Linked DNA regions of Lonchura striata. The protein of the gene in region 3 purifies or fractionates together with the protein of the main gene of each other region. This does not show direct contact. Links are inferred from orthologs where the notes say so. Each region holds a gene or a part of one and is shown on either strand. Other genes may lie near its edges.

The links.
Region 1: the proteins of WDR24 (region 3) and NPRL2 purify together in Homo sapiens (affinity purification with western blotting; 3 studies listed by BioGRID and IntAct, with this or other methods). This does not show direct contact. The link is inferred for Lonchura striata from reciprocal best matches to the Homo sapiens genes WDR24 and NPRL2.
Region 2: the proteins of WDR24 (region 3) and CASTOR1 purify together in Homo sapiens (affinity purification with mass spectrometry; 3 studies listed by BioGRID and IntAct, counting the BioPlex papers as one, with this or other methods). This does not show direct contact. The link is inferred for Lonchura striata from reciprocal best matches to the Homo sapiens genes WDR24 and CASTOR1.

The regions. Positions count from the first base shown.
Region 1 is NC_134614.1:8,469,837-8,477,359, reverse strand, and holds the start of NPRL2 (GATOR1 complex protein NPRL2), read right to left. Parts: upstream 3,001-7,523; 5' UTR 2,972-3,000; coding exon 2,900-2,971; intron 2,737-2,899; coding exon 2,645-2,736; intron 2,258-2,644; coding exon 2,089-2,257; intron 1,862-2,088; coding exon 1,753-1,861; intron 1,472-1,752; coding exon 1,335-1,471; intron 1,074-1,334; coding exon 976-1,073; intron 892-975; coding exon 855-891; intron 717-854; coding exon 623-716; intron 549-622; coding exon 431-548; intron 247-430; coding exon 1-246. Other genes in the region: transmembrane reductase CYB561D2, read left to right, coding at 3,217-3,343, 3,435-3,472, 3,850-4,353; TMEM115 (transmembrane protein 115), read right to left, coding at 6,396-6,600, 7,307-7,523. UniProt on the Homo sapiens protein: Catalytic component of the GATOR1 complex, a multiprotein complex that functions as an inhibitor of the amino acid-sensing branch of the mTORC1 pathway.
Region 2 is NC_134620.1:2,664,571-2,672,323, reverse strand, and holds the start of CASTOR1 (cytosolic arginine sensor for mTORC1 subunit 1), read right to left. Parts: upstream 3,001-7,753; 5' UTR 2,932-3,000; coding exon 2,729-2,931; intron 2,605-2,728; coding exon 2,534-2,604; intron 347-2,533; coding exon 153-346; intron 71-152; coding exon 1-70. Other genes in the region: TBC1D10A (TBC1 domain family member 10A), read right to left, coding at 5,005-5,397, 5,566-5,720, 5,997-6,186, 7,193-7,258, 7,471-7,585. UniProt on the Homo sapiens protein: Functions as an intracellular arginine sensor within the amino acid-sensing branch of the TORC1 signaling pathway. As a homodimer or a heterodimer with CASTOR2, binds and inhibits the GATOR subcomplex GATOR2 and thereby mTORC1.
Region 3 is NC_134618.1:3,113,176-3,120,737, reverse strand, and holds the start of WDR24 (GATOR2 complex protein WDR24), read right to left. Parts: upstream 3,001-7,562; 5' UTR 2,903-3,000; intron 2,368-2,902; 5' UTR 1,936-2,367; coding exon 1,455-1,935; intron 1,116-1,454; coding exon 938-1,115; intron 171-937; coding exon 1-170. Other genes in the region: FBXL16 (F-box/LRR-repeat protein 16), read right to left, coding at 6,222-6,370, 7,110-7,173. UniProt on the Homo sapiens protein: Catalytic component of the GATOR2 complex, a multiprotein complex that acts as an activator of the amino acid-sensing branch of the mTORC1 signaling pathway. The GATOR2 complex indirectly activates mTORC1 through the inhibition of the GATOR1 subcomplex.

The DNA of each region.
Region 1 (7,523 bases), on a different chromosome or scaffold from region 3:
ACCCAGGACCAGTGCACAGCTGTGGGCAGGCAATTCCTTTGCCTCCCACCAGCCCTGGGGCCCACACGGAGCAGAGGATCCCGTGGGTCCCAGGGATCCGTACCGGTCTTGCAGCAGATCTCGTCGTAGCTGTGGCAGCCCGTGTACAGCCGGGCTGGGTGGCTCCGCTCGTCCCGGGCCACCTTGACAGGGTATTTCTGGAGCCGCCGGATAAGGCCCTTCATCAAACCAAACTGGATAAGCCTCCTGCGGGTGAGGAGGAAAGAGACTGGGACCACAATGCTGAGGTGCCAAATGCCCCAGCTCCCCACATTCCCCTTCTGTTCCATGCGTCCTGCCACTGCCTCACACCTCCTACCCTACAGACACAGTACTTCCTGCTTGCTCTCTCTGCCATCCCCAGTGTCACCACTGCCCTCAGGGCTCTGACCTCTCATCCACCCTCTGGAGCTGCAGGGTGTAGCGGGAGATGAGGTCTCGCACGGTGGTGCCAGGGCTCAGCCCGCAGTACAGCTGGAAGACATCCCTGAGGCTGGCTCGCTTGTGCCCTGCGAGGACAAGTCACCATTCAGCTGCCCTGTCCCCCTGCCTGGGCCAGCATCCCCATGCTGGGTCACTGTACCTTGTTTGGTGACATAGGACAGACACTCTTCCTGGAGGCACTTGTCATCCACCAGGTCCTGCACCTTTGGTGTGGTGCAGTAGACATTGGAGTACTAGAGGGTGATGGAAAACCAGCTTGGCTCAGCTGCAGCTCTGAGAGACAGGCCTGGCCCACTCCAACCCCACTGCTCACCCTCCCCAGCCACTGCCCAAATCCTGCTCACAGCCCCACGCTCCCTGGCCCGACCCACCTGGAGTATGGAGACAAGCGTGACAACCCCGTAGTACCTGCAGACAGACAGGACAAGGTGAGAGGCGCTCTCTGGCAGCACCCACCCCTCCTCGGGCCATGCAGCCCCTCCAGGCACTCACAGCAGGTTCTGCACAGCGATGCGCACCAAGTTCAGCTCCACGTCAGCTTCTGCAGAGATCTTCTGGACGTGCCGAAAGCCATCGATGTAGGGCAGGATCTGGGAGGGGAGGAGGCAGAGAGCAGTGAGGCATCACTCTGAAGCCCAAGCAGCTCCCCTGCATCTGGGAGCAGCTGGGATAGGCAGGCTCCGTCCCCAGGTGCACTTTAACCCCGTGATGGTGAATGATTTGCTCACAGGCCCAAGCACAAAGCCAAGGGCAGCACCAAACCGTGCTCATAAACGTGGGGATCTCCAGGACAGCCTAACTCCTCCGATGGTCTGGAAATGGATCCCCTTCAAAGTGTCAAGCACACAGACCTGCTGCGTGGTGAGATCCCACTGGGAATTGAAGAAGTCATCCTTGTCCTGGGTGAAGACAGGGACATCGTACTCCTGCACAATGGGGGGGTCTGGACGCTGCTCAATCACCTTCAGGTGGATGGTGTTCGACTCATCTGTCCGGGAGAAGGGGAAGGCTCAATCTCCGTGCAAAACAGAGCTCTCTCAGGAGCTTGCAACCATCAATGCCAGGACACCACAATGTCACACAGAACAAGGTCCTTGCAGCCCATAACCCCATCCCACCCCTCCCTTGGAGCCAGGTAGGGCAAGGCTGGGTCGGACACCTCCAGCTCCAAGGAGACAGGTAGGGAGCTGCTGGGAGCAGCACAGGCAGAGCTGACCTGGGCAGGGAATGGCCCAGCTGTCTCCCAGCATAGCCCTGTCCTCACCGTACCTATGGGCAGGGTGCACTTCCCTTTGGCATTCAGCTCCTCCAGCAGGATGGTCATGATGGGAACCAGCTTCTGCTTACTCTCCTCGTTGGAGATGAATCCACTTTCCAGCTGAAGAGAGCAGAAAGTCAAGTCAGCTGTTCCCCACAGGATTGCTGGCTACAGGAGCCCAGATCCTGTACCCCTTTAAGACTGAAGTGATCTGCAGGAAACCAGCACAATCCCCTCCTCGCTGTAAAACCAGCCCCTGTCCCAGCAGTGCCCAGCGGCCCCCACCATGCTCCAGGATGCTGCTGAGGCGCCCACGCTCTGTGGGGTGGATCAGAGGCAGCCTGTACCTCCAGGGTGGTGAGATAGCCAGCCAGCTTCTTCACGATGGGCTCCAGCGCGCAGGCCTTGGCCCTGGCGTCGCACACGAAGCCCAGGTTGAAGAGCAGAGCGTTCCGGCTGTACTTCTTGTGCTCGATGCACACGGGGCAGCCGATCAGCTTCTTCTCCATGGCTGTCCTGTGGAGACACCTGTCACCTGCTCTGTGCCCTCAGGAAGCCTTGAGTCCCCCACGAGGCTGGCTCCCGGTCGGCTCTGCAGGTCAGGGCTTCTTTATATTGCAGGAAAAGTGATGCCTAAGCCCTACATGCTCAGAGTGCAAATCCCAGTCTGAAGGGAGAGGGGGGAGGAAAGAGCCAGCCCTCAGAAAAGGAAGCAGTGTCCTTTCGAAAGCAGCACAGCTCTCCTGACTGCTCTGATTTCCTGGATTCAAGGCTGGCGGCGCAGCAGCTGCAGCACCAGCCACCCCTAGATGAGACCCCCACCCTCCGCACGGGTACCGGGGTCACCGCAGTGACCGGCTGGGCCCGGGGCCGGGAGCCCGGCCGGGGCTCGCCCGCACTCACACGGTGATCAGCTTGTTCTGCAGCTCGGGCTTCGTGATGACGTACACCTGGATGGTGTCAAACAGCTCCCGGGAGATGAAGTCCTCGGGGACCTGCGGCGGCACAGAGCTCCCGTTCCAGCCGAGCCCGTCCGCCCCGGGGCGCGCCCGCCGCCCCAGTCCCTGCGCCCCCTTCCCCTCCACGGCCGCTGCCGCGGCCCCGTCTCAGTCCCCTGCCGCGGGCAGGCACTGCGGGCCCCGGGCCCTCGCCCCGCACCTGGTAGGTGATTTTGGGCCCCAGCGTGGGGTGGAACTCGCTGAAGAACACGCACTCGATGCGGCCGCCCATGGCGGGACGCGGAGCGGCCGAACCCGCCCGCAGCCCCGCCGGCCACCGTAGCGCCGCCCCCGCGGAGCCACAGGGCGCGCGGCGGGGCGGGCTCTCGCCTTGAGCGACAGCACTGCCCGCCACTCAGCGGCGGCGCGGCGCGGCGGGGCGGGCCTCGGCGCTGACGGACAGCCCGGCTCAGCCAATCGCAGCCCGCGCCGCGGCCCGGCCATGTCGGCAGCGGCGGTCCCGCCCGCCCGGCCAACATGGCCCTGACGGCCGAGAGCGAGTCCCGCCTGTACCGCTCGCTGCGCGTGGCCTCCGGCGCCGCCGCGCACCTCGTGGCGCTCGGCTTCCCCGCCGCCGTGGCCGTGCTGGCGCGGCCCGGATCCAGTGAGTGCCGCTGGGGCCGGGGCCCGGGGCGCGGGGAGGGCCGGATGTCTCAGCTCGCCTCACCTCACCTCACGCTGCGCTTCCCTTCCAGGTCTCTTCTCCTGGCACCCGCTGCTCATGGCGCTCGCGGTAAGTGCCGCTGCCCCGGGCACCGCCCTGCTGCCGTGGGGCAGGCAGGGCCGTGCTGAGCCCCGGGCGGTGGGAGCCGAGCCCCGGGAGCCCCCGGGTGAGGGGAGGCTGAGCCCCGGGCGGTGGGAGCCGAGCCCCGGGCGCCCCCGGGTGAGGGGAGGCTGAGCCCCGGGCGGTGGGAGCCGAGCCCCGGGCGGTGGGAGCCGAGCCCCGGGTGATGCGAGGCTGAGCCCCGGGTGATGCGAGGCTGAGCCCCGGGCGGTGGGAGCCGAGCCCCGGGTGACGGGAGGCTGAGCCCCGGGCGGTGGGAGCCGAGCCCGGCAGCCGCGGCGCAGGGGCGTTCGGCCGGTGCCAATGCCGCTGCCCTCTGCCCCCAGTTCTCGTTCCTGATGACGGAAGCGCTGCTGATCTTCTCCCCGGAGACCTCGCTGCTGCGCTCCTTCTCCCGCAAAGTCCGAGTGCGGGCGCACTGGGCCCTGCAGCTGCTCGCTCTGCTCTGCGCGCTCCTGGGGCTGGGAATCATCAGCTACAACAAGCACCTGAACGGCAAGGGCCACTTTGTCACCTGGCACGGGCTGACGGGGCTGCTGGCCGTGCTGTACACCGGCGGGCAGTGCGCCGGGGGCGTGCTCCTGCTCTACCCCAAGCTGATGAAGAACTGGACGCTGGCCAAGCTGAAGCTGTACCATGCAACCTCAGGGCTGGTGGGCTACCTGCTGGGCTGTGCCAGCCTGATGCTGGGCATGTGCTCCCTCTGGTTCACCACCACGGTGACTGGTGCCTCGTGGTACCTGGCCATGCTGTGTCCCCTCGTCACCAGCCTGGTTATCATGAACCAGGTGAGCAACGCATACTTGTACCGCAAGCGGAGCCAGCACTGAGGGCTTGGTGCTGACCTGAACTTCCCAGAGCAAGCTGGGTCTCCCCTTGGAGAGAGCTGGCAGTCCCCCTGCTTGCACAGGGCCTCTTTGAAACTTGGTTTCTACCTACTTGTCTTTCGTTAGTCCTGGATTGTCCGTAGTGTCCTGTCCCTGGGGAGCAGCCGCTCCAGATGTGTGTGACACCTCAGCCCTGCCTCGGTGGGGACGTTACCTGGCACAGGTGAAGCTGCTGGTCCCTGTGGCAGCTCGGTGCTCAGTGCTGGGAAATGGAGGGCTCACTCAGGATCTCTGCTCCTTTTCCCTTCCCACGCAGGGCTGCTTTGGAGCAGGCAGGACAGGAGCCATCCTGGTGAGGAGGGCAGGGGGTCCCTTCTCTCCCGGGAGGCTGCAGCAGGCACCATGCTGCCTCTCCTGCCACGGGGGCAGCTTGACAGGAAAGCACAGGGCACGGTTGTGGCTTCAGCCCTGGCAGGGCTGGGGCAGGGCGGTGGCACCCGCGTACGGTACAGCAGCATGTGTGTCCCCATGGCACGGGCAGTCCCTGGGATCAAAGCGTGCAGCTCTGCCCCAAGGCCCTGGGTCTGGACACCCACTGCCACGCACAAACCCCTCCTCCGTGGGCTGGGCTCGGCCTCGTGGGGTGGGGTCAGTTTACAGAGCAAATTACTGAGCCGGGCTGGAACATGCAGCCAGCAAGTCACAGGGAACAGCGTGAGCACGGGGAGGCACGGACCTGGGTGATGAACCCTTGGCAAGGCAGGAAGAAAACTCCATGCTGGCACAACAGCCTTCCTTCCAACACGCATCCTGCTCCTGGCAGGGCTGGAGAGCTGGGAGCGGCTCCCAGGCTGAAAAATTCCTCTGTATCCAGAGCTTTTATTCAATAAACATTTCAGGCAGCTAGAGTGCAACAAGCCCTCTGTCCTTTTTGGGTGAGATGACTTCTGGGGTGCAGGCAGACATCTCTCCCTGCTGTGAGCACCTGGGAAGAAGCCCCCTCCCCAGCCTCCTGTCAAGAGCCCCCAGGGGCTGCTCTGGGCCAGGTCCCCCACCCTGCCCATGCTCTGCTGCAGGAGCCAGTGCTTTCAAAGAACTCTTTATTAATACCCAAATGTCTGTGTTCTTCCCATTTGACAAAACCTTCTCGTGTGGTCCTTTAAAAAAATAATCATGACACTGCTGATCCACATCCCAGGCTGGGAGTTGCCCACTGGATCAGGAGCTGTGGAGGCTGTCGCAGGGAGCATCCTCTCCATCCAGGAAAAAAACTCCACTAACAAAGAGGGAGGGAAAAGAAAGGGGGAGCCCATATTCTACCTGCAGGAAAGAAAACCTGCTGCCAGAGGAAGCAGCTTGAGTCCCACTGTAAAATTAATTCCAGCTTCTAGTGTAATCTGGCAAACAGATTAGCCAGGGAGCAGCCAAGGGCAGCAGCTCCCCACAGGGGGAGGGGGCAGGAGAGGAAGGAGGAGAGAATCCTCACCATGCAAAGCCTGGAGCTGGCAGTGCTGGAGCACCACCATGAGGGGCTGGTGGCCTCTTCCTGCCCAGTGTCCTGCCCCCTCCTACCCAACAAACTTCTCACCCGGCCTGGTGAGCTCCTGCTGGGGCGGGGAGAGGCTCCCCAAGGGAAAGACATTTGTAAGAGAAACCCACCAGCCTTCCTATTGCCTCAGTTAGGGCCAAAACTACCTTCAGAAAGGAGAAAGTAAGTGTTGAGTGCTCTGGCAAAGCCCTGGCACAGAGGAGAAGCTGACTTCGATCCCTCGAGGGCCAGCACAGCGGCTTGGGGCAGGGATCAGCCCCGTGTCCCTGTCCCAGAACAGCTCCTGCTGTCTGCACGGCCTGCCTCGGCTGGGGGAGTGGCTCCAGGAATTCCTGTCCTCAGGGTGGTGGCAGTGTCACTGTCCGGGCGCCTGGTGCTGGCCGCGAGCAGCAGCGAAGCGTTGCAATGAGGTATCCCCCTGGCTGTGCCCGGGAGGAGTCCCCGCTCCCAGCGGGATTAGCAGCTCTCCAGCGGAGACAGGGCGGGAAGGGGCCGGTCACAGCTGAGCCGGGGCGTCCTGGAAGCTGATGAGGTTGGACTCCTGGCCAGGGCTCTTCCCGGCCGTGCTGGGGTCAGGCAGCAGAGGGCTGTCAGCCTTCGCTGCTGCTGCCGCCTCCTCCTCATCATCCTCCATGCTGGGCCAGGCTGATTGGTCCTCCACTCGCTTCAGCCGCTCGTTCAAAGCCTTCAGGGCCAGCTGCCTGCAGGACAAGGCACGTGGGCAGGTTAACCCTGGGTCACTGGCGCTGCCCCATGGGGCACTGTGCAACTCAGTCCCCGGCTTCTTCCCAGCAGGAAAGGGTGGGGTCAGTAGTGCTGGGGAAAACCTGGAGAGCCTGGGACTGCTCCACAGAAATCCACTCTGGCTCCCAGACTATTCACAAAGAGTTTTCATGCTACGTGGTACAGCCAGAGGCTGTCAGCACGAGAGCAGCTCCGGGAATGGGGAATAAAGGCATAAAGCAGAGCAGGGAAAAGGGAGTGCCAGCACCCTGTCCAAACCCTTCTGCCAGAAGTCAGGAAGGCCAGTGCTGGCTGTGCTGGAGGGCTGGGGTGTGGGGCTGACTCACTGCCCTGTCCTGGGCCAGGGTGAACTGGTGGAAGGCTGCCACCCCTAGGCTGCACCCCTTTCTTCTGCAGGGACCCCAACCTTGTCTGCCCCTTTCCCAGGATCTCCCCTGCCTTACTATTGCTCCTCCACATCTGGAAGAGCGGGATAATGTCCCACCAGCTCCCTGAAATGCTCCTCACCACCTCCATGGCAGACCACATGGAGAAGGCTCCTCCTCAGCCCCTGCACCTAAATCTCCCCCCTCTTCCTTGGCTGGATTTTAAACCATACCCTTTCTGTCCCCAGACACGATCCCTATGGGCAGGGAAGGCCAGGCAGGGCAGGGCAGGGGGTACCTTCTCCTCTCGGCGTCCTGGGGGTCTGTTCCTGGCAGGCTGATGGTGATGGAGGACGGGGCACCCACGTCGTAGCGCTTGACGGTCTTGCGGCACAAGCGCACCTTGACCAGCACGCTGTGCACCAGGTTGGCCACCAGACCCACCACGGGCTGCAGGATCTCGGGGAAGAAAGTGGCGAAGGCAAAGTGGTCGCTCATGTCTCCGCGGCCTCTAC
Region 2 (7,753 bases), on a different chromosome or scaffold from region 3:
TCTCCTCCTTGTAGATGTCGAACTCCCCGGCCAGCGTGTGGATCACCACGGGCAGGTCCCGCTCCCGCACCTGCCCCGGGGCGCGGGGTCAGGGCTGCACTGCCACCCCTCCCCCTGGACAGCCAGCCAGGGCCACCGTGCCCGTCACCCACCAGGATGAAGTCGGTCTGGTACGTGGAGAGCATCAGCACCGAGACGTGGTGCTCGGCCAGCGGCGCGATGACCGACCGCGCGATCTTGGTGACGCCGGTGGCCTGGCAGCCGGGGGGCTCCCGCCCGTTGGAGACCACGCTGAGCGCCAGCCACGTGGAATCTGCCACCTGCAGGAACTCCGAGGGCGGCAGCTCTGCGAGGGACCGGGGACACTGAGGCACAGCCCGACACAGAGCCAGTGCCAGCTCAGGCACTGCGTGCCACGCTGTCCCATGGGTGATCCCCAAGGCAGGATCAGCCCCAGGTGTGGGGACACTGGTTTGGGGGTGCAGTTGAGCCCCATCCTCAGTGGAAAGAACCAGACAGGGCTCAGCTGCTCCACACTGGGATTTGGCCGTAGGGACGAGGGGGGCCAAAGCTACAGGCCCCCAAACCCCAAGATGTGTCTCTCCTCCCTGTGCCAGCACCGCAGGCTGGGTGTATGGGGATGTTGGCATTTCACCCCCAAACCAGCATCACCAGGGCCGTGGGGCTGCCCAGCTCATCCTCTGCCCCCCAGGAGCCTCCAGCCCAGCGCCCACCACCAGGGATGTTCAGGGATGCACACAGGACATTGGAGGGGACAAGGAGAGGGTCATCCTGCTGTCCTGGGAGTCCCAGCACCTAGTGTCAGCCTGGTGGAGAGAGCCCAGGCTGCCAGAGGGCCACAGCTGCTTCCCAAAAATCTGCTGGTGTTGGCAGGGTGGGCATAGACCAGCTGCTCCTGCCTCCCACCCTCCTGCCCAGGAGAGGGGCTGGCACTGCTGGGGCACCCAGGGCTCAGTCAGGCTGCTCCCTCTTCTCTGGGCTCCCCTTCCCATCAAGGGACGGGCCAGGGCCCCAAGGAGTCTCCAGTCCACTCCTCCTATCCAGGAAAGGTGGGAGCAGCTCCCATGGGAGACCACACAAGCCCCCAGCCCTTGGGTGGGCAGCCAGTGCCCAAGCCCAGCTGAGACCCCAGACTCACCACGCCAGTGGTGGAGGGGAGGCTGCACGGGGGAGGGTCCAGCCCTCACTGAGGGGCCCCCATCCGGGGACAGGCTCTGTACTCCGCTCCCAAACTGGGCCGGGGCAGGGCGGGAGCGGGGCCGGATCCGGAGCCTTGGCGGCTGTTCCCAGCGCCTGTTCCTGCGCAGGAAGCGCCAGAACAGCCTCGGCTCCAGCCCAGGGCCCAGTGCTGGGAACAGCGGGGCGGGACAGGGACTCAGGGACATGGGGACCTGTCCCAGAGCTCAGTGTTTAATCGCTTTTCAACACCACCCTGGGCGAGGCTGAATGCAAGGGGGCCTCGCTGTCCCTATGTCACCCACCCCAGGGCTTAATCCTGATCCCAAGGGAAGAGGGGGTGCAGCTCTCCTGTGCTGGGGGTCCCCTTCCAGCCCGGCAGCAGGGGGACACTGGCAGCCCGCAGCCAAGGGGGGTTCACGGGGCACTGCGGGGCCGCAGGCTTGCAGGACCATTGTTCAGCACTTCCCGCCCTCCCCTCGGGATTGAGGAATATTTGTCTGCATGCCCCAAAATACAACAATACGTGGGGAACGGCTCTGGCTCTGGGAGCGGGGAGAGCCCGGGACACGGTCCCGCTCCACAGCACACGGAGGTGAGCCTGGCACCTGGCCGCGAGTGCCCGTGGCCGGAGCGCTGACCTTGTCCCTGGGTCACGGCCAAGGACCCGCGGCGGCCCCGGCAGGAAGGTTTGGGCGTGGGAAGGCGGGCGGGATCCGGACCCTCTGGCTCAGCCCGTCGGGCCGGTGGCCCGGCAGGGCTGGCGGTGAGGGTGACACACCGCACGTGCCGGGCCATGTGGGGACGTCACCAAGTGGCACCTCCCCGGGAGAGGGACTGGCTTGGAAGGGATCCAACCTCACCCCAAAAGCTGGACCCTGCTGCCGGACAGGACTCACCCCTGCCAGCCTGGCCGCGCCTGTGCTTTGCCCTGCTCTGCCAAAGCTGCAGCTGGCCCTCACCGGGAGCAGGGGCGGGATGAAACTGGACACGGGAACGATGACAGGCTGCCAGAGCCGGGAGCGCCGCCCGCGGGCATCCCGGGAGGAGCCTGCGCCCTGCCGGAGCGCCCGGGCTCCGGGCCGGCACCGCAGCCCGGTGGCAGCGCTGCCCGGGAGGGGCTGGCGGAGCAGGGCAGCCACGCCGGGAGAGCCCCGGCCGGGCAAGCCGGCACATCCCCGGCACAGGCGCCTGGGGCAGGACGGGCACGCTCCGAGGGAGCCAAGCACAAGCCGGGACTCGCTCCCCGCGGCCCAGGCGCAGAGCCGGGCTGGGGACGCGCACAGCCCGCGCCGGCGGTGCCAGCCCGCCCTGCCAGGGACCCACCACTCGGTACCTTTGAAGCCCTCCTCGTCCAGCATGACCGTGTAGTCCTCGGGGGTCTCCGTCAGGCTGAAGAACTTGCATCTGAAGCAGAAGAAATCGGTGCTGCTGACCTCAAAACCGCCGCCGTCTCCCGGGGCCGGGAGTCGGGGAAAGAAGAGCAGGAAGAGGAGGAGGAGGGTGGTGGCGGGGGGAGGACAGCCGGTACCGGCAGCGCTGGGGCAGGAAGAGCAGCTTGAGCAGCGGGTGGGTGTAGAGCCAGAGCCCGCGGCGGGCCAGGCTCAGCACCCGCACCCGGTGCTCCAGGATGTGCAGGTCCATGGCGGCCGCGCCGCCCCGGGAAGCGCCGCCGCCGCCACTATAAGGGCGGACACGGGACCGCCCCGGGACCGGCCCGGGACCGCCCCGCATCGCCCCGGAACCGCCCCGCCTCGGTTCGGCAACGCCCTGTGACCGCCCTCACCGCCCGGGGACCCATCCGGGAACGCTCCGCTTCTCTCTGGGACCGCCCTGTGACCGCCCGCCTGGCGCCAGGACCGCCCCCATCGCTTCGGGACGCGACCCGGCACCGCCCCGCACCGCCCCGCACCGCCAGAAAGGCAACGACCCGGGCCACCGGGATGCCCGCACTGGACACCCGGGATAGCCCCACCGGAGCCTCGGAACCAGCCCCAGTGCAGAACTCCGTGGTGCCCAAACCAGCCCAAATTCAGCGCCCCAGGATGCCTGGAGCAGCTCCAACTCAGAGTCCCAGAGTACCCCCGAAATGCAGCCCTGGGGGCCCAAACCACCTTCAATTCAACAGCCCGGCATGCCCAACCAAGGGAGACCCTCTGGGAGCCACTGCCAACCCCACTCTACCCCCAGCCACAGCACCCAACCGGGTCCCACATGCTCAGCCCCAACGCCAGGTCTGGAGAGGGGATTCACCAAACCAGGTCCACCCTGGGAAAAAGGGGTTTGTGGAGGGAGGAATGGAGGTTTGGGCAGAATTCTTGCCTGCAGGAAGAAAGAGAGAGATGGCCTGGGCACTATTTTGGGATGGGAAGCTGAGCTCTGGGGTGTCATGGGATTAGTTTGGGGTCCCCTGGCTCTGTTCAGCCACAGGAGCTGTGACAGTGGGAAAAGGGGAAAGGCCTGGGTGCTGGGGTGGGAGTGCACCAGAGCCTGGCAGCCACCACTCTCACAAGCTGGGGCAGGTCTCAGTCTCCTCCCATTCCACTTCAAAGGGGCAGCCACAAGGCTGGTGAGACAGCAGGGCTGGGCCATCTTCTGCGGTGACAGAGCAGTGACAGCAGCGTGGCCCTTCCCAGGTCACTGCCCAGCACCTGCCCCCAGGACAAGGGCAGCCAGGAGAGAAGGGACCCAGGGAAGGGTGCATGCCAGGGTCAGTGTCCAGTGCGAATGGGATGCAGGGGAGGGTGCCCCCAGGGATAGAGAACCATGGGCAGGGTCCAGGTCAGGGTACCCCCAAAGCTGGTACTGGTGCAGCAAAGGGGAGGTGACACCCTTGCCTCCTGCCACCCTCCAGCCCCATCCCAGGCCAAGAGAGGTGGGAGCCGGGGCTGCGCCTTTACACACTCGCTTTATTGACCCCTTTGTACAAAACTGCTTTTCCCGCTTTATTTTACAAACCCACCACCCACCCTCGGGGAGGGCGGGGGGGGCAGAGGGGACCCCACAACCAGGGGGCACCTGGCTGCTGCTCACCCACCCCGTCTCACCTGCGCTGGGGCCTGGGGGGGGGTGGCAGTGGTGGGGTGAGCCCTGGCAGGGTAAACACTCCCCCTGAGCTGTGGGGAACTTGGGGATGGGAGGGGATGGGATGGGGGGCCTTCAGCCCCAAAACTCGGCAACAAATCCCGCCGCCTCTAGCACATCCTGCCTCGGTCCCTGTCCTGCCTCAGAGGAATAATAAATAGGCTCAGTGAGTAGGTAAGTTGGGTACTACATATAGGGCTACAGCTTGATATATCCTCACTAGATAAGAGGGGGGCGAGGGGTCCCAGGGCTCCTCGTGTACCCCCAGTGCCCTGCGCCAGGCCTAAGTGCTCAGGAACTGGGGCTGGGGCTGCCCGGCTGGCGCAGGGTGGGGGCTACAGGAGGGACCCGGGGGGTGATGGGTCGAGGGGCTCTGGGACGGGGAGAGGGGCCCAAGGGGCAGCCCAGCCCCCCAGCGTGGGGAGGGAGCTCGGGTGGCTCAGCCACCCCCTGCCCGGGCTCCCACCGCTCGTGGTGCCAGCACCCTGCGGGGTGGGCACCCAGCGCAGACCCACGGTGTCCCCTTTGGTCACCACACCTGGCCAAGCTCCACGGATGCCCCGAGAGGGCCACGCTGTTCTCCCGGAGCCGCACAGCCCCCCTGTCCCATCCCTCCAGCTCAGAGCCCCCAGCGCCGGGTGCCAGGGGTCCCCCTGGGTGTCCTCGCGCCCGGGTCCGTGCGCAGCCCCGCTGAGCCCGGCTGCCCGGGGTGTGGGCCGGGCCCTACAAGTACGTGTCCTCGCTCTCCCGGGAGCTCAGGCTCTCCTTGGACTGGTGGTGGGGGGAGACCTGCGGGTGCAGCAGCTCCCGGGTCGTGCCGGGCGCCCCGTTGCCCTCGGCCCCGGGGCCGTTGGCAGGACTGGCCGGGCCCTTTTCCCGGCTCTTCTCCTTGCTCTTGCGGGCCTTGGGCACGGGGGCCGGCCCGGGGGAAACGATGATGGAGGGGACGGGCTCCAGAGCCTTGCGCGGCGCGGGCTCCGCCTCGCTGATGGCCTTGGCGCCGTGCAGGCGCGGGGGGGACTTGCACTGCAGCTCTCCGTGCGTCTCCCGCCACTTCTTCAGCTGGATCAGGTGCTCCCGCTCGATCTGACGCTCCGTCACCGGCAGCTCGATGACCTGTGGGGACACTTGCTCCATCAGCGACAGTGCCACCGGGGCTGGGTGTGGGATCCCCCTCAGGGCACTGCTAAGGAAGCTTTTTGGGGGCTGCTTCCCATGCTCCGCCCACCCAGGGACAGCCCAGTCTGGCAGCACTGGGCCCCCAGGCCGTCCCCAGCACCTCACCTCCTGCACCAGGAAGGCCTCCTGCATGATTTTGGGGCTGAGGGCCCTCAGCCTCTCCATGGTCTCATACTGGCCCTGGCAGGATTTGAGCTTGTCCGAGGAGCCCAGGGTGTGTTTGAGTAGCACCAGGCCCACCCGGAAGATGATCTTCACTCCTGCAAGAGGAGACGAGACGCAGTGAGTACCAGGTAGGACAGGGTGACACTGCCACCGTGTCCCTCAAATGCTGTGGGACAGCACATCCCAGTCCCACTAACGGTCAGGACATGCAAGAGGGTGAATTTGGAATGCACATGCCTCCTAACCCCCAGGAAAACTGCCCACTTCCACTGGTGGCTGTGGCTGCCCCAAACCTGCCCTGCTACAGGTCCCATGGCCGTGGGGAGTGCAGTCACCCCGTGAGGAGGAGGAGGATGGTGGGGAGCTCCTACCTTCACAGAAGAACATGTCCCAGACGCGCAGGACGGAGCTCCAGGGCAGCGTGCGGGAGAAGGCGCACATGAACCACTCCGTCATGTACAGGATGGGGTCGATCTTCTGCTTGCTCAGGTGCTTGTAGGCCACAGGGGAGACCTTGTGCAGCAGTGAGAAGAGGATCTGTCCGTCCAGCTGGATGGCCTCCTGCAGGGACAGGGACCAGCATCCCAGTGAATACCCCAGCCCTGGGATCAGCCCCCAGGGCCAGGTCCCAGCAAGGGCAGCCAACCCTCTACACCTGATGTGAGCAGAGCTGTGTCCCACGGATGCTACACTGAGACCCCCATCCCTGAATGCTTCTGGGAGCCACATCACAACAGGGAGACTGTGGGAATACCCAGCCCCTCCTCAGACCCCTTCTTTCCCCAGGGTGAGGAGCTGGACAAGTCTTTGGCCTGGAGATTCAGAATTGTGGAATGGTTTGGGTTGGAAGGGACCTTAAAACTCATCTCATTCCATCCAAATGCCCTGTGGTAGCTTCCACTATCCCAGGTTGCTCCAAGCCCTGTTTAACCTGGCCTGGAACTCTTCCAGGGATAGGGTGGCCACAGCTGCTCTGGGCACCCTGTGCCAGGGCCTGCCCACCCTCCCAGGGAGGAATTTATTCCCATCCATCCCTGCCCTCTGGCAGTAGGAAGCCATTCCCTGTGTCCTGTCCCTCCATCCCTTGTCCCCAGTCCCTCTCCAGCTCTCCTGGAGCCCCTTTAGGCCCTGCAAGGGCTCTGAGCTCTCCCTGGAGCCTTCTCCTCTCCAGGTGAGCACCCCCAGCTCTCCCAGCCTGGCTCCAGAGCAGAGGACCTCCAGCCCTCAGAGCAGCTCCATGGATTCCTCTGGAACTCTCTCCAGCAGCTCCAGGTCTTTCCTGTTCTGGGCCCCAGGGCTGGGGCAGCTCTGCAGGTGGGGCCTCACCTGGGCAGGGCAGAGAGGCAGAATCCTCCCTCCCCTGCTGCCCACACTGGGGGTTCAGCCCAGGACACATGGCCAGGGTGTGGTCAACCCTCACCAACCAGCACTCCTGTGTCCTTCTCCCCAAGGCTGCTCCTGATCCCTTCATCCCCAGCCCAGACTGATGCTAGGGGCTGCCCCAACCCAGATGCAGCACCCTGCAGGTCCCTGCCACTGCTGAAAGCACCATGAGCTCTTTACTTACCAGTTTCTCGCTGTAGTAGCCAGGGAGGTACTTCTCACAGATCTGCACCAAGCACCAGAACGCTTGCTGCAAGCCAAGGACAGCAGGTGAGCACTCAGAGGACATCCCTGTGGCCCACTCCCTGCTCCCAGGAACCACGGGAGAGGGTGGCAAGCAGCAGAGCACCCCTGGAGCCCTTTGGGTTGCCCTGAGCCGGGCACCCCACTCATCAGCACCCCCCAAAGGGCCCCACAACGCTCCAGGAGGTGCCAGCTGTCCCCTGAGCCACGTGCCCGTACCTCGGCCGGCATGTGCATGAGCAGGACGGCGGCGATGGGCGCCTGGGCCTGGCAGTACCCCTCCTCCGGGCGGTACAGCGTGTACGCCTTCAGCACCCGGAACAGGTCCTGCTGCCTGCAGAGACACCCGGGCACGCACAGCTGGGCACACGGCACGCACGTGGCCCAGCAGCCTTCCCCGTGCACGCCAGGCTCGAGCCTGGGTCACTCCCTGGCTGGGATCCCTTTTCCACACAAAGCCGGGCCAACAGCTCTGGGGCTCGGCCCACAGAGCGCAGGTCCT
Region 3 (7,562 bases):
TGTGGTCCACCATCATGGAGCAGGTGGCGATGTGGTGCTTGCACTCGGGGCGCCACTTCACCCGCGCCACCGAGGCGATGGTCTGCACACAGTAGATCTCCTTGGCCCGCGTCGTGTTCATGTCCCACACCTTCACCATCTTGTCGCGGCCACCTGTGGCCAGCCAGCCCCTGGGACAGGGACGGATCAGTGTTCACCTCTCTGTCCCCACCGTGGCACAGAAATGCTCACAGCACAGGTGTGAGCACATGCACGCCGCAGGAGGGTGGCTGGGCTGCAATGCCATCCTCCCGTGAGCTCCCCTGGCACCTCTGCTCTGCAGCAACCAGGCCAGGCAGCACTCTCCTGCCCGCTCCCAGTTACAGCCCTGCACCTCTAGAGCCACATCCCAGTCAGACCAGTTGCCTCTGGCTCTGCTTTCCACTGGCCAGGCACAGCAGAGAGGAAAACGCCCATCCTGAACATATTTCAGTGCTCTCCAAGATCACGAGCAGTGGCAGCACTGCCTGGCAGGGAGTGAGGAGGGACATGCACACTGTAACAGCTCCTTTTAGATCCTTCTCAGCAAACTCCCAGGAAAGGGTGGAGGGAAACATGACTGAACACAAGCGAGCTGTGTCCCAGAGCAGCCAAGTTGTGCCTTCCTCAACCTGAACACTGGAGCGAGAGGCCACTGTGACACTGCTCTACACAACCATAAGACACCCAGTGCCACAAAATCCCCTTATTTATCAAAAACCAAACCTCAAACACCCTTACACCACCCCAAATGCTCCAAGTAACAATCACTCCTATCTCCCAGCAACATCCCAGCTCCTGACACAAGGGGACAGGGTATCACAGACCATGCTTTCCCCCACAAAATCCCAATCCTGTTTTTAGGGTCTCTCTTGTCCTGCAAGTTTGGGTGGCTGGCAGGGCCCGGCCCCACTCTCACCTGTCCTCTGGGTGCCAGTCGCAGCAGAAGACGGGCCCGTTGTGGGCTGTGAACATCCTCTCGTAGCGGTCGGGCCGGCGGATGTCCCACAGCTGCACGTTGCCGTTCTCGAAGGTGGCGGCAAAGGTGAAATAGTCCCGGATGCTGAACTGGACATCACGCACACTCTCTGACTGCCCTGGGAGGGGACACAAGTTAGGAGCTCCAGCAATGCTAAAAATCCCACTGGAAGAGCTGTGGCACAGAGAGAAGGTAGCAGGGAGTGCTGTGACTGTCTTCCATCTCACACACAGACCCAGCTAGCACTGAGAGGCAAGGAAAGGCACCAAAATGCCTCTCAGCTCCTTCTTTCCCTGCCCTGGGCATCAGCCCCTGAGCAAACCCTCCTCCTGGGCACAGGGAAGGACAAAGCCCCTCACCCCTGCCTCTCCTAAGGGTGAAGGGACAAGCAATGAAAGGACAAAGCTCCCAAAATGTGCTTCCCCACAGGGAAACAGGACAAGAGCCACGTTAGTACCAGAGAAGGTGCTGACAGAGTCCTTCTTGCGCAGGTCGAAGCACTTCATGTAGCCGTCCTGGGAGCCGCTGAGCAGCATGTACACCTCGGTGGGGTGGAAGCACACCTTGTTGACAGTGCGCTTGTGCTCCGTGAACAGCTGGTCCTGCTTGTTGCGGGACGGCTTGCCCAGGTTCCAGGTGACCACCACGCCGTTGGTGGCGGCGGTGGCCAGCAGGTTCTCGTCCATCTGGTGCCACACCACGTCGGCACAGCTGAAGTTCAGGGAGGGTTTGCGGCCCACGCGGAGGTTCAGCTTCTCCACAAACTGTTCCTCCTCGATGGAGTAGATCTTGAAGATGTTGCGGCCGGCCACCACCACCTGGGCGGCGTCCCGGCACACGCTGATGGCGTTGGCAGGGGCGTCCAGGTGGCAGAACATGGTGCGGCCGGTCAGCGCGTTGCCCCCCAGGGCAGTGGTGACCCTGGCCATCTTCTCCATGGCTGTCCTCGGGGTGCTGTCCCCTCTCCAGCAGGCTGCCTGCACACCCACACGGCCAGCCTGCTCCAGCTCAGCCAGAGCTGGGCAGGGACAGGCTGGGCTCCTGCCGGGCCCTGGTGGCTCCGACCGTGGCTTTGTGCAGCTGCATCAATGGGGTGTGGAGGTGAGAGGCCACAGAGCTGCCTGTGGGAGGGAGATACGGCCCCACTCTGGGTTCTCCTCCTGCCACCCTCTGTGGCTCCCTCTCGGAGAGTTCCTGAAAACCTTCTCTGGGTTCCTTCTTCCCTCCTTGGCCACACCCTGAGATGTTTCACTGTTGCTGACAATATAAGTCAAGTACAGCACTGTGGCTGAAGTGAGCAGCGTCCACAGCACGAGGTGGGGTGAAGTGAGGCCACGGTCACCTCCGTGGGGCACTCGGAGCTCCAGAGCCTGCAAGAACCAAGGGATGACCGTCCTTCCCTAGCAGAGTTGGGGGCAGCGGTTACTCCAGGCTTCTGGAGGGATCACGGGCTGTGCCCTCCAGAGCCAGGCCGAGCTCCTGCCACAGCACTGCCCTCCCTTGCCAGGTCCCACAGACACCGCACATTCCCACCCCCTCAGGGCCCCTTCCCACCTTGAGCGCACCCTGAGGGTCCCGTCCTACTCCTGAGCCAGCCCAGCCCCTCATATCCCACACTCCCACCCCTCAGGGCTCTCCTGACCCACAGCCCCCCAGGACCCCTCAGACCCCTCACCTCCCGCTCTGCAGGGCCCGCTCCTGACCCAGAGCCCCTCCAGGGCCGCCTCCAGCCCTTCAGAGCCCACTCAGGGTTCCCTCAGAGCCTCTCCCGCCCTATATCCTCCTCAGGGCCCCTTCCCGCCCCTCAGAGCCGCCGGCGCCTCCTCACAACCCCCTCCCGCCACACAGAGTCCCCTGCCGCTGCCCCCTCCGTGCGCGGCCCCGGGGCCGCTCCCAGAGCCGTACCCGGTGCTGAGGCCGTACCCGGTGCCGGTTCCCCGCCGGCCGCTCGGGCCGAGCAGGCCCCGCCGCCGCCGCCGCCCTCCCGCCAGGCCCCGCCCGTTTCCGCCGATAGACCCGCCCCGCCGCCAGGCCCCGCCCCTTTCCCGGTGCGGAGCCCGCCCCGGCCCCCGCCGCCCGGGCCCGCCCCCTGCTCCTGACCACGCCCCCTCCGTCGCTCTCGCCGTTCAGCCCCGCCCCTCTGGGACACGACCGCGCCTGCTCCCGCCCGCCGGCTCAGGCCACGCCCCCTCCGGCACCGGAGCCCATCAGGCCCCGCCCCCGGTGCCGCCCGAGAGGCCCCGCCCAGAGGCGAGGCCCCGCCCAGAGGCGAGGCCCCGCCCCCCGCGCGCCCCACACCGGGGATCGGGGGACAGGGGGGCACGGAGCCCGGGGATCGGGGGGACAGGGAGGCACCGAGCCCGGGGTTCGGGGGACAGGGGGGCACCGAGCCCGGGGATCGGGGGGACGGGGGGGCACGGAGCCCGGGGATCGGGGGGCAGGGGGGCACGGATCCCGGGGATCGGGGGGCAGGGGGGCACGGAGAACGGGGATCGGGGGGCAGGGGGGCACGGAGCCCGGGGATCGGGGGGGCAGGGGGGCACGGAGAACGGGGATCGGGGGGCAGGGGGGCACGGAGCCCGGGGATCGGGGAACAGGGCGGGCACCGAGCCCGGGGATCGGGGAACAGGGCGGGCACCGAGCCCGGGGATCGGGGGGCAGGGGGGCACCGAGCCCGGGGATCGGGGGGCAGGGGGGCACCGAGCCCGGGGATCGGGGGGACAGGGGGGCACGGAGCCCGGGGATCGGGGGGACAGGGGGGCACCGAGCCCGGGGATCGGGGGGACAGGGGGGCACGGAGCCCGGGGATCGGGGGGACAGGGGGGCACCGAGCCCGGGGATCGGGGGGACAGGGGGGCACGGAGCCCGGGGATCGGGGGGCAGGGCGGGCAGGAGCCCGGGGATCGGGGGGACAGGGGGGCACCGAGCCCGGGGATCGGGGGGACAGGGGGGCACGGAGCCCGGGGATCGGGGGGCAGGGCGGGCACGGAGAACGGGGATCGGGGGGACGGGGCGGGCACCGAGCCCGGGGATCGGGGCAGTGCGGGGGCCGGGGTGCAGGGGGACCCCGAGGGGGTCACTGGGAGTGGGGGTTCGCTGGGATGGAGTGGGAGGGGTAGGAGCTGTACTGGGGACTGGGGGGGGGGCAGGAGGAGAGAGTACCAGGGGGTTCCGGGGTGTTACCAGGGGTGGGAATGTCCGGGAGATGAGGGATCCGGGGGGAACGGGGATGGCAGAGAGGCACCCCAGAGGGACTGGGAGCGCAGGAGAAAATGGGGTTTAGGGGGATGTGGGGTGCATTATGGATCAGGGTGGGAAATGGGGGTGCCGAGGGGATATGAGGTGCATTGAGGGTGTAGGGTGAGCTGGGGTGTTTCAGGGGTGCACAGGGGTGTGTGGGTGCACTGGGGGGCTCGGGGCACATTGGAGAGGGTGCCAGGGAGATGTGGGGATCCAGGGCATTAGGATGTGGGTGCATGGAGGTTGGGGAAGCAAGGGGATAACTGGGGGTCAGGGATCTGTGGGAGCCTTGTGGGTCAGGCTGCAGGGGGGGAAATGGGGGTGTCGAGAGGATGTGGGGTGCATTGGTGGTGTACAGATGCACTGGAGGGATATAGGGGTGCACAGGGGAGTAGGGGTGCAGGGGGTATGGGGGCCACTGCCATGGGGGGTGCAGGGGAGGGTATGGGTGCCGTCAGTATAACCGGGACCAGGGGCTTGTGCAGGGCTATGGCACCCCAAAACTGCTGCTGTCACCTGCAGGGGTGGGGGGACCCTCTGTGTGCCGCTGTCCTGCCTGGCCCCGGCGCCCAGGGACACTGCAGGGTTTGGGGGTGCAGGCAGCCCTCCACCCCCGTGCCAGGGTGCTCCAGGCCCCAGCAGTGCCACCTTGTCCCGTAGCCCCGGGGACCCCCAAAACCCCTTCCAGGGCCACTTTGCGCCATTTTGGGGTCAGAAAGGGGCGTTTCGGACAAAGCAGGGAGCGGAGGCGGCAGTTGGTGCAGCAGTTCCTTCCCGGCCGGTACAAAGGCAAAACAAACCGAAAGCGTGTCCGTGTCCGTGTCCGTGCCCATCCCGTGTCCGTGCCCGTGTCCGTGTCCATATCCATGCCCACGCTCCTCCCCCGGCTGCCGTGGCAGCGGGCAATGCCGCGGGGGGCCACCGAGCCCCTCCCGCGCCGGGTCCCCGTGGGCACCCCAGCCCCGCGCCGGCTCGGTCCCGTCTCGGCGCGGCCCAGGGGTCCCCCCGGTGCCCCGCTTTCCGCCGGTATCGAGGCGATGGCTTTTCAGCTGGAAGAGCGGTGGCGGTGGCAGTGGGTCCTAGGTGCCACCTCCTGTGGTCTCTCTGCGCTGCCGCGGTGGCTCAGACCCGGCCCTGGTCCCCCGGGATGTCCCATCCCAGACGGATGGGTCGCTCCTCGGCGGTGGCATCACCCCCAGAGCCCCGCGGGGTGCAGTGGGGTCCCCAGGGCGGCGGGGGATGCTCGCCAGGGGAGCCCGGCTCCCGGGGCAGGATCCGGCCGGGACGAAGCCGCGTGGAGGGGCTCAGTGGGGCTGTCACTTGTCACCGTCCCCCCGGGTACCCCGAAACCTGCCGTAGCACGAGACTGAAGCAAGCGAGCATGCGAGGGCGGCGGGCGGGCGGAGAGGGGCATCCTATTCACCGGGAGAAAGCGCCCCAGAGGCGGGGCTGGGGGCTGGAGGGGACACGCAGCACGGGGAGGTGGGGGGGTGAGCTCGGTGACCCGCTCCAGGGGCGTGAGGGGACCCATCCAGCCTCCGCCGCCACCCAAAAATAAGCATCCTCCTCTGGCCCATCCCTGGGAGCATCCTCGGTGCCCAGAGCATCCTTGGCGGCGGGGCCGTGTGCCCGCTCGGCACCGGGGCGGGGGGAGCAGGATGCGGCCGGGGTGGGGGGGTCACACAGCGTCGCCTTCCCACTCTGGGCTTCCGTGATGTCCGTTCGTCTGTCCGAAGGGATTGGCAGGACACCGGGACGAGCGCGGGCGATGGCGGCGGCGGCGGGGGGGAATTTACATGGCAGCCGGGGGGCTCCGGCCGGGGGCGACGCCTGCCCCCATCTTCCCCCGGAGCCCCGCGCCCCTCGGGGGCGTCGATGCGGGGGATGTCCGGGCTCGGTTGGAATCGGGGGCGTCTCTCGAATCCCCCAGCAGCCAGAGGGAGATGGGGTGGGCGATGGCGGCCGGGGTGGGCCGGGTCCGGCGCTACTCGATCACCATGCAGCACGGGAGGTGCTGGGAGAAGTACTTGAAGAGCTCCGGGGTGGCCCCGGGGCAGTTGGTGAGTTCCAGCTCCTCCAGCTCCTGCAGCTGCACCAGCCCCGACAGCCCCGTGGTGGTCAGCAAGGGGCAGCCTGCAAGGGGACAGGGCGCACTGTCAGCGCAGAACACCAGTGGCCCCCAAAAAACAGCATCCAAAAAATAGCATCTCAAAGGCACCGACATCCCAAAACGCCAAAATCCCCCCAAACAGGACCAAAGGATCAGGACCTCAAAATCCCAGCACCTCAAAACTCAGCACACAGGACCCCCAAAAAAATAGCGTGCTAAAAAAATGTATCCCAAAAACCCTAACAGTACAAAAAAAATCACTCAAAAGATCAGCAACCAAAGAATGCAGCACTCAAAAATACACACAAAAATGCACACAAAAACCAGTACCTTAAAGCACCGGCACCCCAAAATACCAAGACCATCAAAATTAGCACCCACTACAACCCAGAAAACCAGCATGCTAAAGAATAGTGCTCCGAAACACCTGCACCCCAAGGTCAGCCTAAAAACCCAACATCTCAAAGGACCAGTATTAAAAAAAATAAAACTAAAGCATCCCAAAAAGCAGTGTCCCCTAGCTCCTCAAAACCCAACACCCCAGAAAACTTGAATTGCAAAAGCATAGCTTCCGAAACACCACCACCCCAAAAAACAGTGCAGCCCAAGAGCCCAGCCCCGCGTCTCTCCCCACAGGCTGGGCTGGGTGCAGGTGCCTGCTGGCTGTCCCCAGGCTGTCCCCAGGGCTCTGTCTGTCCCCATGCCCCGTGCCTCCCCAGCCCTGTGGTGTCTCTGGTCCCCGGCAGAGGGTCAGGGTCTCACCAGCCAGCGAGAGGAGGCGCAGGCTGCCCATGCCCAGGAGGTGCTTCAGGCCAAAATCCTGCACCTGGAAAAGAAGATGGGATGGGGATGAGCAGGGGACAGCGGGGACAAGCACGGCACCAGGGCTCAGCATTGCCAAGCTGGGGGAGGGAACAGGTGGCAGGGCCAGGAACCTGAAGCGGGGTGCTGAGGCTGGCCCTGTGATGGGACAGGCTGCAGGGAGCTGGGCGCTGGGGAGGGCAGCCTCAGCAGGATGTGGGATGTTGCAGCAGGATGCTGGGGCAGGATTTTGGGTGCAGGGCTGGGTGCTGGGTCTGGGCTGTGCGACAGGGAGGGGAGCCAGGGCAGGGAGCCTGCAGCAGGTACCGGGTCTGGGGATTCTGGTGCTGGGGCAAGGATGCAGGGTCAGGGTGCCAGGGCTGAGTCCTGCTGAGCTCACAGGAGCTCTCTGCT